Linked DNA regions of Astyanax mexicanus. The protein of the gene in region 1 purifies or fractionates together with the protein of each later gene. This does not show direct contact. Links are inferred from orthologs where the notes say so. Each region holds a gene or a part of one and is shown in the gene's direction. Other genes may lie near its edges. The genes, in order: vangl2, dvl2 and sqstm1.

Evidence for each region.
Region 2: the proteins of vangl2 (region 1) and dvl2 purify together in Homo sapiens (affinity purification with mass spectrometry; 4 studies listed by BioGRID and IntAct, with this or other methods). This does not show direct contact. The link is inferred for Astyanax mexicanus from reciprocal best matches to the Homo sapiens genes VANGL2 and DVL2.
Region 3: the proteins of vangl2 (region 1) and sqstm1 purify together in Homo sapiens (affinity purification with western blotting; 3 studies listed by BioGRID, with this or other methods). This does not show direct contact. The link is inferred for Astyanax mexicanus from reciprocal best matches to the Homo sapiens genes VANGL2 and SQSTM1.

What each region holds. Positions count from the first base shown.
Region 1 is NC_064415.1:12,406,711-12,410,466, forward strand, and holds the start of vangl2 (vang-like protein 2), read left to right. Parts: upstream 1-1,101; 5' UTR 1,102-1,819; intron 1,820-3,756. UniProt on the Homo sapiens protein: Involved in the control of early morphogenesis and patterning of both axial midline structures and the development of neural plate. Plays a role in the regulation of planar cell polarity, particularly in the orientation of stereociliary bundles in the cochlea.
Region 2 is NC_064415.1:18,703,946-18,707,701, forward strand, and holds the start of dvl2 (segment polarity protein dishevelled homolog DVL-2), read left to right. Parts: upstream 1-1,251; 5' UTR 1,252-1,748; coding exon 1,749-1,909; intron 1,910-3,756.
Region 3 is NC_064417.1:17,978,256-17,982,011, reverse strand, and holds the start of sqstm1 (sequestosome-1), read left to right. Parts: upstream 1-825; 5' UTR 826-983; coding exon 984-1,152; intron 1,153-3,149; coding exon 3,150-3,245; intron 3,246-3,465; coding exon 3,466-3,756. UniProt on the Homo sapiens protein: Molecular adapter required for selective macroautophagy (aggrephagy) by acting as a bridge between polyubiquitinated proteins and autophagosomes.

The sequences.
Region 1 (3,756 bases):
AAGACAACAATTTTAAAATCTTAAATTACAGTTATAAGGCTTTTTTAACATCCTCTAGCTGAATGTCCAGTAGGGCCTCGTCAATAATATCGCCTACATTTTTAAATATAGTGAACGCCTGGAATATCGTGTCATATCACCCACCCCTAATTATCACATCAAGGTACTACTTTTAGTGCTGTTTTAAGCAAAATAAAAATTCACACGCCCCATGTCCCATTACAAAGCTCTGGAAAAAAATAAGAGACCACTTAAAAATTATGAGTTTCGTTGATTTTGCCAAATGGGAAACCTCTGGAATATAATCAAGAGGAAGATGTATGATCACAGCCATCAAACCAAACGGAATGCCAGGAGTGGCATAAATTTATCCAAAATGTGATGCGAATGACAATAAAATCTCCTTGAAAAAGCAGTGTGTGAGACTGGTGGAGAAGAACATGCCAAGATGCATGAGAACTGTGATTAAAAAACAGGATTATTCCACCACATATTGATTTTTGTCTTGCATTATTTGAGGTCTGAAAGTTGTGCATCTTTTTTTTGTTATTTCAGCCATAAATGCTATGAATATTTTTATTTGGAATTTGGGAGAAATGTTGTATGTACAACAATGTTAATTTTACTCAAACATTTACCTATAAAAAAACTAAAACAGAGAAAATGATTCAAAAACTGAAGTGGTCTCTTATTTTTTGTGCTTTGTGCTTTTAAACTTTTAAACTCCGGTTATCCAGTTATAAGACTTTTAAACATGCTCTAGCTGTATATCCAGCACATAGTAGCAGCAATGCTAGCGTCTTTGCTGCCTAAGAATCGTTAGTTTTAGAGAAATTTAAGTATAAAATTCAAATTTCTTTGCTTTTATAGAAAAAATATTTTTTTTTTGCTTTCTAAAAATTTAAGAAAACCCAAGATGAGTAGTTAGACACTATTTTTAATTTGAGCTTTTAGCCGTTTAGCTCCATTCACTCCCATTATTTGAGGACTCGCTCGCGGGCTCCCCCTAGCGGATCGTGATTGTTATGACATAACAAGGAGAATAGGAAGTGGGCAGGCTCTCTGTAAACAGGCTCTGCAGCTAACCGCTCCCCCTCCAGATCCAGGAGGAGCAGGAGCAGAAGAAGCTAGCTAGCAAACTGGACTGAAGCTGGGATTGGACTGGATTTGAGGGCTTTTCTTGCAAACCAGTCCATCTAAACTTTTAAAAAGTTAGCTTAGCTTCAATACATAGCTTTAGTAGCCTGTAACTTAGCTAGATAGCTAGCTGACTGACTGACTGTGTGTGTGTTAATGGAAAGGGGTGGGGGTTGAAGTAGTTACAGCTGCTGCTGCTGCTGCTGCTGCTTCTTTATGGTCGTCCACTGTCTTTGGAAGAAGAGGATAAAGGAGATAGCTGGATGATAGAGACGCACCATACAACAAACAAGCCGTGCCTTTTCCTAGCTAGCTTGCTAACCTAGCTAACCTACTCTCCATGATCTCCACCGCCCTTCGCCTGGATGCTTTCCCAGCAGATCTGCTGCTCCATGTGATGAATGAACGTATTCACACACACAGCGGGGCTCAAAGCGCACTGGAGTACCTCCAAACAAGGCTCTCGGATCTCACACTACGCTCATCCTAGCGAGTATCGCCTTTGTTGAGCTTTGTTTTCTTGTTTTCCTCTAAACCCGAGCTGCCTTTTGTGCCAAACATCACAGCGGAACCCAGAAACGCACGGTTTGTCTCTTAGTTTGGAGCAGAAAAAAGGCAGCGGCTCTTGGATTTCCCTTTGTGTTGCTCCTGCCAGGCCCTCGGATCCGCTCTCAGAGACGGGGTGAGTCTACAAAGTGTCGTTTTTAACCAAAAACGAAGCCTGTTTTTCACTCTTTTGTCCGTTCCTTTCTTTCTCCCTTTCTCTTTCCTTCTTTTGTTGGGCTGAGTGGCTGCATTGCATTTTCTAGCTTCCTGCAATCACTTATTTATTAGACTGTGCTCACTAATGGATAGCTAGGTAGCGTTTGCTAGCTAACCTAGGTTATGTACGTTAGCTAACGTTTGATACCTTGGATCATTGTTAGCTAGAAGTTAAGTTAGATAACTATAGAAAAACTCAGTGTGGAAAGGGATTAAATGAAAATGATAGCATTAATAGACGTTGCAGGACATTCCTTCTCCAGTTTAAGTCACTATAAGCAGTGTTTTAACCCCAAAAACACGTTCAATTTACAATTGACTCTTCTTTACATTGTTTGAGCTTTCAAAAACTTAATTATAATAAGCAAATACATTAATTCCTCCTTTAGTTTGAGTCACTTTGTTTAGAGTTTAACTCCAAATCACATTAAATCTCCCATTGACTCCTAAGCCTTTATTATAAAGGCTTAATAATCAGCGAGAACATTTATTTCTCCTTTAGTTTCAATCTTCAAACCATCAATTAACCCTACAGGACCATCTTTAACCCTAAATTCAGTGTGAAAGCAGAGTTGTGAACCTCAAAACACGTGAAATGTCCCATTTGACTCATATCTTTTCATTGTTTAAGCTGTTAAAGGTTTAAGAATCAGCATAAACTAAATTCATTAACGTTACTCCTCCAGGTTGAAACTAAACCATAAATCAACTGAATAAACCATCTTTAACTCTAAATAATTAGTGTTAAAGCAGAGTTTTAACCCCAAAACACGTTAAATCTCCCATTTGACACCTGACTTTTCGTTCTGTGAGCTTTTAAATACATAATAATTTTATAGACACAAACCTTAATTGCTTATTCAGTTTGAATTCCTAAACCATGTTTTAAACTTCAGTTATTCTAAAGCCACACAATGACTACTATATTTTCATTAAAATTATAAAGGCTTAATAGCCAGTAAAACCTATGAACAGCTCTTAGTTCAATTTATTTACTCTTTTACTTTTCTTTAAGCTTTATGCCTTAAAAATATGGTATTAAATAATGTGTAAAAAGGACGTTAACCCTTCCATTGTAGCTATAGTATTTGAATGCAACTTCTGTAGGATTTTTCTAACCTATCAAGAATAAAACGTTTCAAAGTGCATATATGACGTATTATATTTGTATTGTTAAAGCTATAAATGGCTTAACTAATACTAAATAAATAAACAGTAAATCCTTATTCAGTTTAAGTATATAAGCAGTTTTATAACCCTACGACGATTTAAAGCAGTTTGAGTCTCTAAAGTAATTTTTCTTTACCTAAAATCTTTTAAAGCTCCTTTACAGTTTATTTTTGCCTTATTTAAACGTTTAATGCATTAAAAGTAACCTGGTATGATATAACTTAGTATGTGGGTGTCTGGAAATGGCTCTTCCATTCCACCTTAAATGGTGCAGTAATTAAAAGCAACTGCAATTATAATTATTTTTAATTAAATAGCTTAAAGCTCTACATTCGGTCTGTTTTCTGCCTGTTTAAGCTTTGTAAGTGCCTTAAAATATGTAATACTAAACTAAATTTGGCATCCATACCACCTTAAATGAAGCAGTGTAACCTCTGCAGCGTTTAAGGTGGAATGGAAACAAAAGTCAAATAAGATGCGTTCATAAAGTCGTCAAATTAAACGTAACTAGTTAAAAATGTTTGACCTGAACATATTTTGCCAACGTAAAAACTCACCCTGTTTTAGTCTAATCTCTCTCGGAAATGGCTTTAACCAACTCAGTTGTCCTCAGTTCGCCTGGCTGCACTAAACTTAAGCCAAAGTGAGAGTGAATCATAGCTACTTTTGTATTTTTGTCGGCTGTTA
Region 2 (3,756 bases), about 6.3 Mb from region 1:
AGCCTAACTGCTCTGTAGAGAGTACAGTACAGTCTAAAGAAAAAGGCATGGTCAACCTAAACTTACATGTTTTTCTTTCATTCTCTGCTTATTTTTGTGTGTTAAACACTTTGGTACTCTTTGCTTAAATTAGATTTAACCTAAAACACTAACTAGGAGGGTCTGATACATGACAACCTGCCAGGACTCACTGAGCTGAACTACGAAAAACAAGATGACAAACAAAAAGGGTTTAATGTGACAGTGAACTGACAAATAGTGTTCATTAACTATTAATCAAACAAAGCTATTAAGCCACAACATTTCCATGTGCATGATAAAACCTTTTGTGTGAGTAAACACACAAAAAATTCTCCCTTATTGCACCCAGATTGCTGCACAAGTCAGCATGGAGTTACTTCTCAGACAGACATAAACCAATTACAGGTTTGGTCTGAAAAGGCTGTCAGAGGCTGTGTTTAGGTAGTGTACCTCTTGGTGAGAGAATGTTGACTACTAGACATGCCTCTACAACTCACTTCAAGACATTTTGCCAAGCTGTCTCAGCCAGAATGCAGAGAGCATTTATGGGACCATCTGCAACACCAGCTTCACCAACTCACCAGCTTCAGGCAAACTCTGTCCCAAACCCAAAATCCCAAACTCTGTTTCAAACCAAAATCCCAAACCAAAATCCCCAAACCCCTAACCCTGTCCCAAACCAAAATCCCCAAACCCCTAACCCTGTCCCAAAACAAAATCCAAACCCAAACCAAAATCCCCAAACCCTTAACCCCGTCCCAATCCCAAACCAAAATCCCAAACCCCTAACCCTGTCCCAAACCAAAACCCAAACCAAAATCCCCAAACCCCTAACCCTGTCCCAATCCCAAACCAAAATCCCAAAACCCCTAACCCTGTCCCAAACCAAAATCCCCAAACCCCTAACCCTGTCCCAAACCAAAATCCCCAAACCCCTAACCCTGTCCCAAACCAAAATCCCCTAACCCTGTCCCAAACCAAAATCCAAACCCAAACCAAAATCCCAAACACCTAACTCTGTCCCAATCCCAAACCAAAATCCCAAACTCTGTTCCAAACCCAAAATTTCTAACTCTTTCCCAAACCCAAACCAAAATCACAAACTCTGTCCCAAACTCAAAATTTCTAACTCTTTTCCAAATCCAACCCAAGATCCCAAACTCTGTCCCAAACCCCTAACCCATGCCTGTTCCTCGGGTGAGCAGGACCCTCCCTGGCTGGGCTGACGTCACGCGCCGCGTTGGCCTTCACTGGAGAGGAGTTTGAAACTCCGCCGTGTTGTTGTTGGAGGAAAAGCAGCGGCTGCAGGAGAGCAGAGAGAGCAGAGCTGAGCTGAGTGCGGGTGTGATTTGTGCAGCCGGGCGCTTTTTTAAGGGTTTAGCTGATTGTTTTGAGTTAGTTTAGGAGGAGAAAGGGAAATGTTGGGGATATAGAGGCAGTGGAGGTGGGCTGGGGGCCGTTGGAGCTTTTTTTTGTTGGTTAAAAGTTTATGCTCGCTTGCTTGGAAACGCTGGGTAAAGTTAGCCTGAGACTCCAGTCTGCTCCAGTCGACCCCCTCCACCACCTCCTCCCTCCTCCCTCCTCCTCCTCCTTCTTCTCCTCCTCCTCCTCTTCTTCTCGTTAGCTGGGCTACCCCTAGCGTTAGCCAGTTAGCTAGCTAACCTAGCTAGCCTCCCAGCCTCTTCCATAGTTTAGAGGATCCAGAGGGGGAAAGTAGAGGAGAAAGAATGGCGGAGACTAAAATAATTTATCACATCGATGAAGAGGAGACGCCGTACTTGGTGAAGATTCCCATACCGGCGGAGAAAATCACTCTGCTGGATTTTAAACAGGTCCTAAACAAGCCGAACTACAAATTCTTCTTCAAGTCTATGGATCAGGACTTCGGGTGAGTGAGGGAAGGAGGGAGGGATAGAGGAGTGGGGGCTCTGCAGGAATGGGTTGCCATGCAAATGATGTGGCCGAGAGGAAGAAAAGTTCTTATAAAAACTTTAAAAAGTTAGAAAAAGTTTACATTCCTCGCTCCCGTTGTAGATTATGGCTCCACACGCCTTGTTGAGCTGAAGGATGAACTTTTTAACAGTTTCTTCTAAAGGAAAAGTTGACAGTTAGGCTGACTGTTAACAACAGCGTCCAGGTTTATAAGCTAGGTTAGCTAACCTACTGCATTGTTCAAGGTAGCGTTAGGTTAGCACACTATCAGTTAAATCAGACTCCGCCGGATAAAAAAACAAAGACACGCACAGAGGATTTAACATTTTTAAACATTTTAATGCATCTAAAATTAGATAAAGCTGTTTTAGCTAAATGTATGATAGTTCTCCTCCTGACCAAGCTAACCCAGCTAGCGTTAGGTAGCTGCTTATCCTAGTTGAATGTCAGGCCCACCAAAGTACAGCATAACTGGTTAACTAATTTAACGTTACTTGTTAACTAACTAAGCTAACGTTACGTAAATAAAATCCAAACTCAAGCCAGCTAAATCATGAATCATCATGGGCTATGTCAAGCCCTTTTAGTCCTAACTCAGTTTTTACACTCTGTAAAGCATTTTAAAACTAGTTAACGTTACTCTTATTTCAGGTATCATCTATAACATTTTTACAATTCTGACAATTCATGTTACCAGGACAACATATCCATAATATACTTTATTATATACTATTATACTAATATACTTTACCAATAGTTCCAGTTTTTACTAATAAAATCTTCAGTTACAGATATCTATAATTATTTTTTTTACTAGTAATTTACTAGTTACACTTTCAGGTATCGTCTATAAGTTAGCTAGCATTTTTACAATTCTGACAAAAGTCATGTTATCAGGACAACATATCCATAATATACTTTTGACTAGTCAGAGTCATCTCTTACCTATAGTTCCAGTTTTTATTACTAAAATCTTTAGTTACAGATATCTTTTGATATATATATATATATTTATTTATTTTTTACAATTAATTTATTAGTTACACTTTCAGCTATCCTCTATAACCTAGCTAAAATGTTTACAATTATGACAAAAGTCATGTTATCAGGACAACATATCCATAATATACTTTTGACTAGTCAGTCATCTCTTACATTTGGTTACAGTTCTTACAACTACAATCTTTAGGCTTTAACTATTGTTTTTACTAGTTATTTATTAGTTAAGTTACACTTTCAGGAACCGTCTATAAGCAAGCTAATATCTTTACAATTCTCACAAAAGTTATGTTACCAGGACAACATATCCATAACATATCCATAATGTTCAAAAAAAGTCCAAAAGTTGTAATTTCAGACATCTGCAATAATTCTCACTTGTAACAAGTATAGGTCCATATATCTGTAATAGGGCGTTATTATTTTAGGGCGACATGGCCTTAAAATAATATCATGATTTTTTTAGGGTATTTTTGCAGTAACAATATTCTTGCTGTTATGACAAAACATTGACAAATAAAACAAAATGTCAAGAATACACAACTGCAACAAAGTAAATGTTAAATTATATTTGGAAATATTATTGCATACGCTGTGATATGGAAGATCCCTGTTATCTAATTGTAACAGAAGTCAATGATCCAACATGTCATGTCACTAATAATGCATTCCTCTGTTCAGGATTGAAGTAAAATAAATTATATGGACATATTAAATACACTTTTTAATGGCAAATGAGAACAGTGTGAATTTTCCTTTTGGTACAAACAGCATGCTGTACGAACAGCATGGCCCAAATGTCCC
Region 3 (3,756 bases), on another chromosome or scaffold:
TTATACTAGTCAGAAATATTTTTTCCAGGTTTATTTATTATTTTTTTCATGTAATAATGCAGAACAAAATCCAATCCAATCAAATAAGTCTAAGCAAAAATAGAGGGAAAAATACAAAAAAGGTACGCTGAAAAAAAGAATACTAAAAAAAGAAACATAAATAACATAATAGATAGAAAAACACAATCATACAATAAATATTCAACAGTTACTCAGGAATAACAAAGGATTGTAAGGTCCTCACATATACAAAGAACGGTTCCCACATTTTCTTAGGTGCTCAGCGAGCCTCTAATGGTGTACCTGATTTTCTCCATTTTGACACATTAGTAAGAAATAGTTTATGTTATAAGGATATGTTGTGCTGTGACTAGTTAGAATGGTTTTATAAATTAATGGGTCTGATATTATTACTAACAAACATTTTATAGATGAATCTTTAACTCTGAACGATTCTACTAGTAAAAATAGCATTACAGGGTTTTGTAATTTGAAGTGTTGGTAGTAAAATTAGTTTTACTTTAGTTTAACTGATTTTAGGTTAAAAAGGCGCTGTATGCACAGTGACAGAGACATGTCCTCGGTGGTGATATCAGGGGGAAATCCCCGGGTGGAAAGTGCTGTGTCATTCCTCGGCCTTTAACATCCCCCCTGTGCTTGGCCCCGCCCACCCCCCCCCCCCCCACCCCGCGCTGTTGTACTGCCTCTGATCACAATAACACGCCGTGAGCTTTGTCCGCCTGTCAAGAAGCACTTAGCCCCGCCCCCCAGGACCCAGGCCGTGTTTCCGATTGGGCGGCTGGGCGGTATAAAAGCTGCGGCTGAGCGGGAGGGCAGGATCGGAGAGGAGCCGCGGCTGCAGGAGGCGTGACGCTCAGCTGACTGCTGATTTAAAGGGAAGTGAATTTCTGCTGCGCAACAAACCCCACAGCCCGACTTCTTGATCCGCAGCAGTTTGTGTCGCGGGAGAAAAAGACGCGAAAATGTCGATGACCGTCAAAGCTTACCTCCTGGGGAAGGAGGACAGCCACAGGGAGATTCGGCGCTTCGCCGTCGACCAGGACGTGTCGACAAGTTTCGAGTACCTGAGCCGCAAAGTGGTGGATGTTTTTACCAACCTCCGGAATGCCACATTCCAAATGTACTACAAAGGTAAGTTAGGACTTTAATACAGAAATAATCTCTTTAACTAGATAAAGTTATAATAGTGTGGGGTTACACAGGCTGGGCTCCTTCCTCCAGTGTTTGGTTTAATGGGACTTTAACCTGAATGGGTTATTTATTAACCGGCCAACCGAGGCCTTAATACCACCTTATTACACTGTAACTAATTCTTAGTTACTTAGCGAGGTTAGCTAATGGGCATCGTGTAATCTGGTTAAATCTGAGCTATAGCCTCTTTTCACTATTACACTATGACATTATGACTTTGGTCTGGTTATAAAACTATACCTTAAACAAGTTTATTTTGTGTATATATATAACTGAAGTGCCCCCTGCTGTATGTGTATATATATATATATATATATATATATATATATATATATATATATATATATAGTATATATGTAATGACAGTAAGCTATAATTAAGTTTACAGTATAATTATAATGTGTTTTAAGGTTTTTAGATAGCTAATATTCTAACTTCAGTATAAAGAAACAGACAGTAAGCTAGGTTAGCTAGTTCATGTTCATGTTCATCAGCATATTATATCAACACAGGTTCAGCTGCTCAGACTTGTTTTCCTTCATTGTTTCTGGTTGTGTGTCGACTCCACCCTTGTAATGGAAATACACCTAATTAAGCTCAAACAGAGTTTTGTGTTTAAATCTCTAAATGAGATGTTTTACAGCATTTCAGCATATTTTCATGATATATATATACATACATACATTTATACATATATGTACAGTGGCAGTATTTGCCCTCTTACAGATTTCTTTTGAATTTTTGTCATACTTACATTTTTCAGATGATCAAATTTTTATATCAAACAAACTATCCAAACCAATCTAGCCCTTTGTAAAAAAAAGTGTTTGTCCCCCATAAATTAACTGATTAATCACACTTTGGAAAGCTGAGTTCAATTTCACTATCCACAACCAGGCGTGATTATTGCCAGACCTGTAGAATTAAGAACACTGAACCTTCCCAGGAGTGGCCGGCAGACCGAAATTATTGCAAAATGGCATGGACAACTCATCCAGGAGGTCACAAAATAACCTAAAACAACATATAAAGAAGTGCAGGTCTCACTTCCCTCAATTAGATCAGTATTAATGATATAATAATGAGAAAGAGACTGGTCGAAAGTTGTACCCATGGAAGAGTTCCAAGGCAAAATACACTGCTGACCAAAAAGAACAGCCCGTCTCACATTTTTCAAAAAACATCTTGGAGACTTTGGACAAATGTTCTTTGCACTGATGAGACAAAAGTGGAACTTTTTGGAAGGTTTGTATCCCTCTACAAATGGCGTAAAACTAACACATAATTTTAGTAAAAAACATCATCCTGAATGTAAAACATGGTGGTGGTAGTATGATGGTCTGGGGCTGCTTTGCTCCTTCAGAACCCGGAAAACTTGCTGTAACAGATGGAACCAGGAATTCTGTTGTTTACTAGACAGTCCTGAATGAGAATGTACAGCCAACTGTTCATGACCTCAAGCTCAGGCGTACCTTGGTTCTGCAGCAGGACAATAACCTGAAGCACACAAACAAGTCCACCCCTGAAAGTCTCTAAAAAAAACAAAACAAAATGAAGGTTTTGGAGTGGTCTAGTCAATATCTGATTAAGATGCTGTGGCATGATATTATACAGGCTGTTCATGCTCGAAAACCCTCCAATGAGGCTGAATTAAAATAATTTAATTTAATTCAGTCTTTTACACAGAGATGTGAAAGACTCATTGCAAGTTATCAGTAAAGCTTGATTGCAGTTGTTACCGCCAAGGGTAGTGCAACAAAGTTATTAGGCTTAGGGGTAAAAAAAAAATCACGAAAGGCTAAAATGGTTTGAATAGTTTTTTCCTTTAATAAATAAAATTATAATTTAAGTTTTATATTTATTCAGGTAATATTAAAGTTTGTTTAATAATTAGAAAAATATTAGAAACTCATTTCCGCTTTTCTCTTGTCCTTCAGATGAGGATGGTGACATGATTGCCTTCTCCACTGATGATGAGCTCATGATGGGATTGACTCTGGTGAAGGAAGACACCTTCCGTCTCTTCATTAAGGGTAAGTTGCATAAGAATGCAAACGGTTGTTTGTGAATCTTACATAAAGATTTTATTAAGAACATTTTGGCAAACATTCAGTGTGAGAATCTGTGGAAATGCTTGATATCATCTGATCAGACCTAAAACCTAAAGCATAAAACCAGTTTTAATCCTTTTTTCACAGTTAATAACCTTCTTAATAATAACCTGTTTTTTTTTTTGTTTTTTTGTTTTTTCAGAAAAAAAGGAGCACAAGCGTGACTTCTCTCCACATGGGTTTCCAGGGTTTTCCTTTGGCCATCCTCCAGGACCACATCACATGGGGCCACCTGGGCACCATCATGGTGGACATCATGGCGAACATCATGGGGGACATCATGGAGGACATCACGGAGGACATCATGGTGGGCCCCATGGACCACCTCCAAATGGACCACCTCCACATATGGGCCCACCTCCACACCAAGCTCCCCCCATGATTCACCCTGGTGTGACCTGTGATGGATGTGAGGGCCAAGTGGCTGGAACTC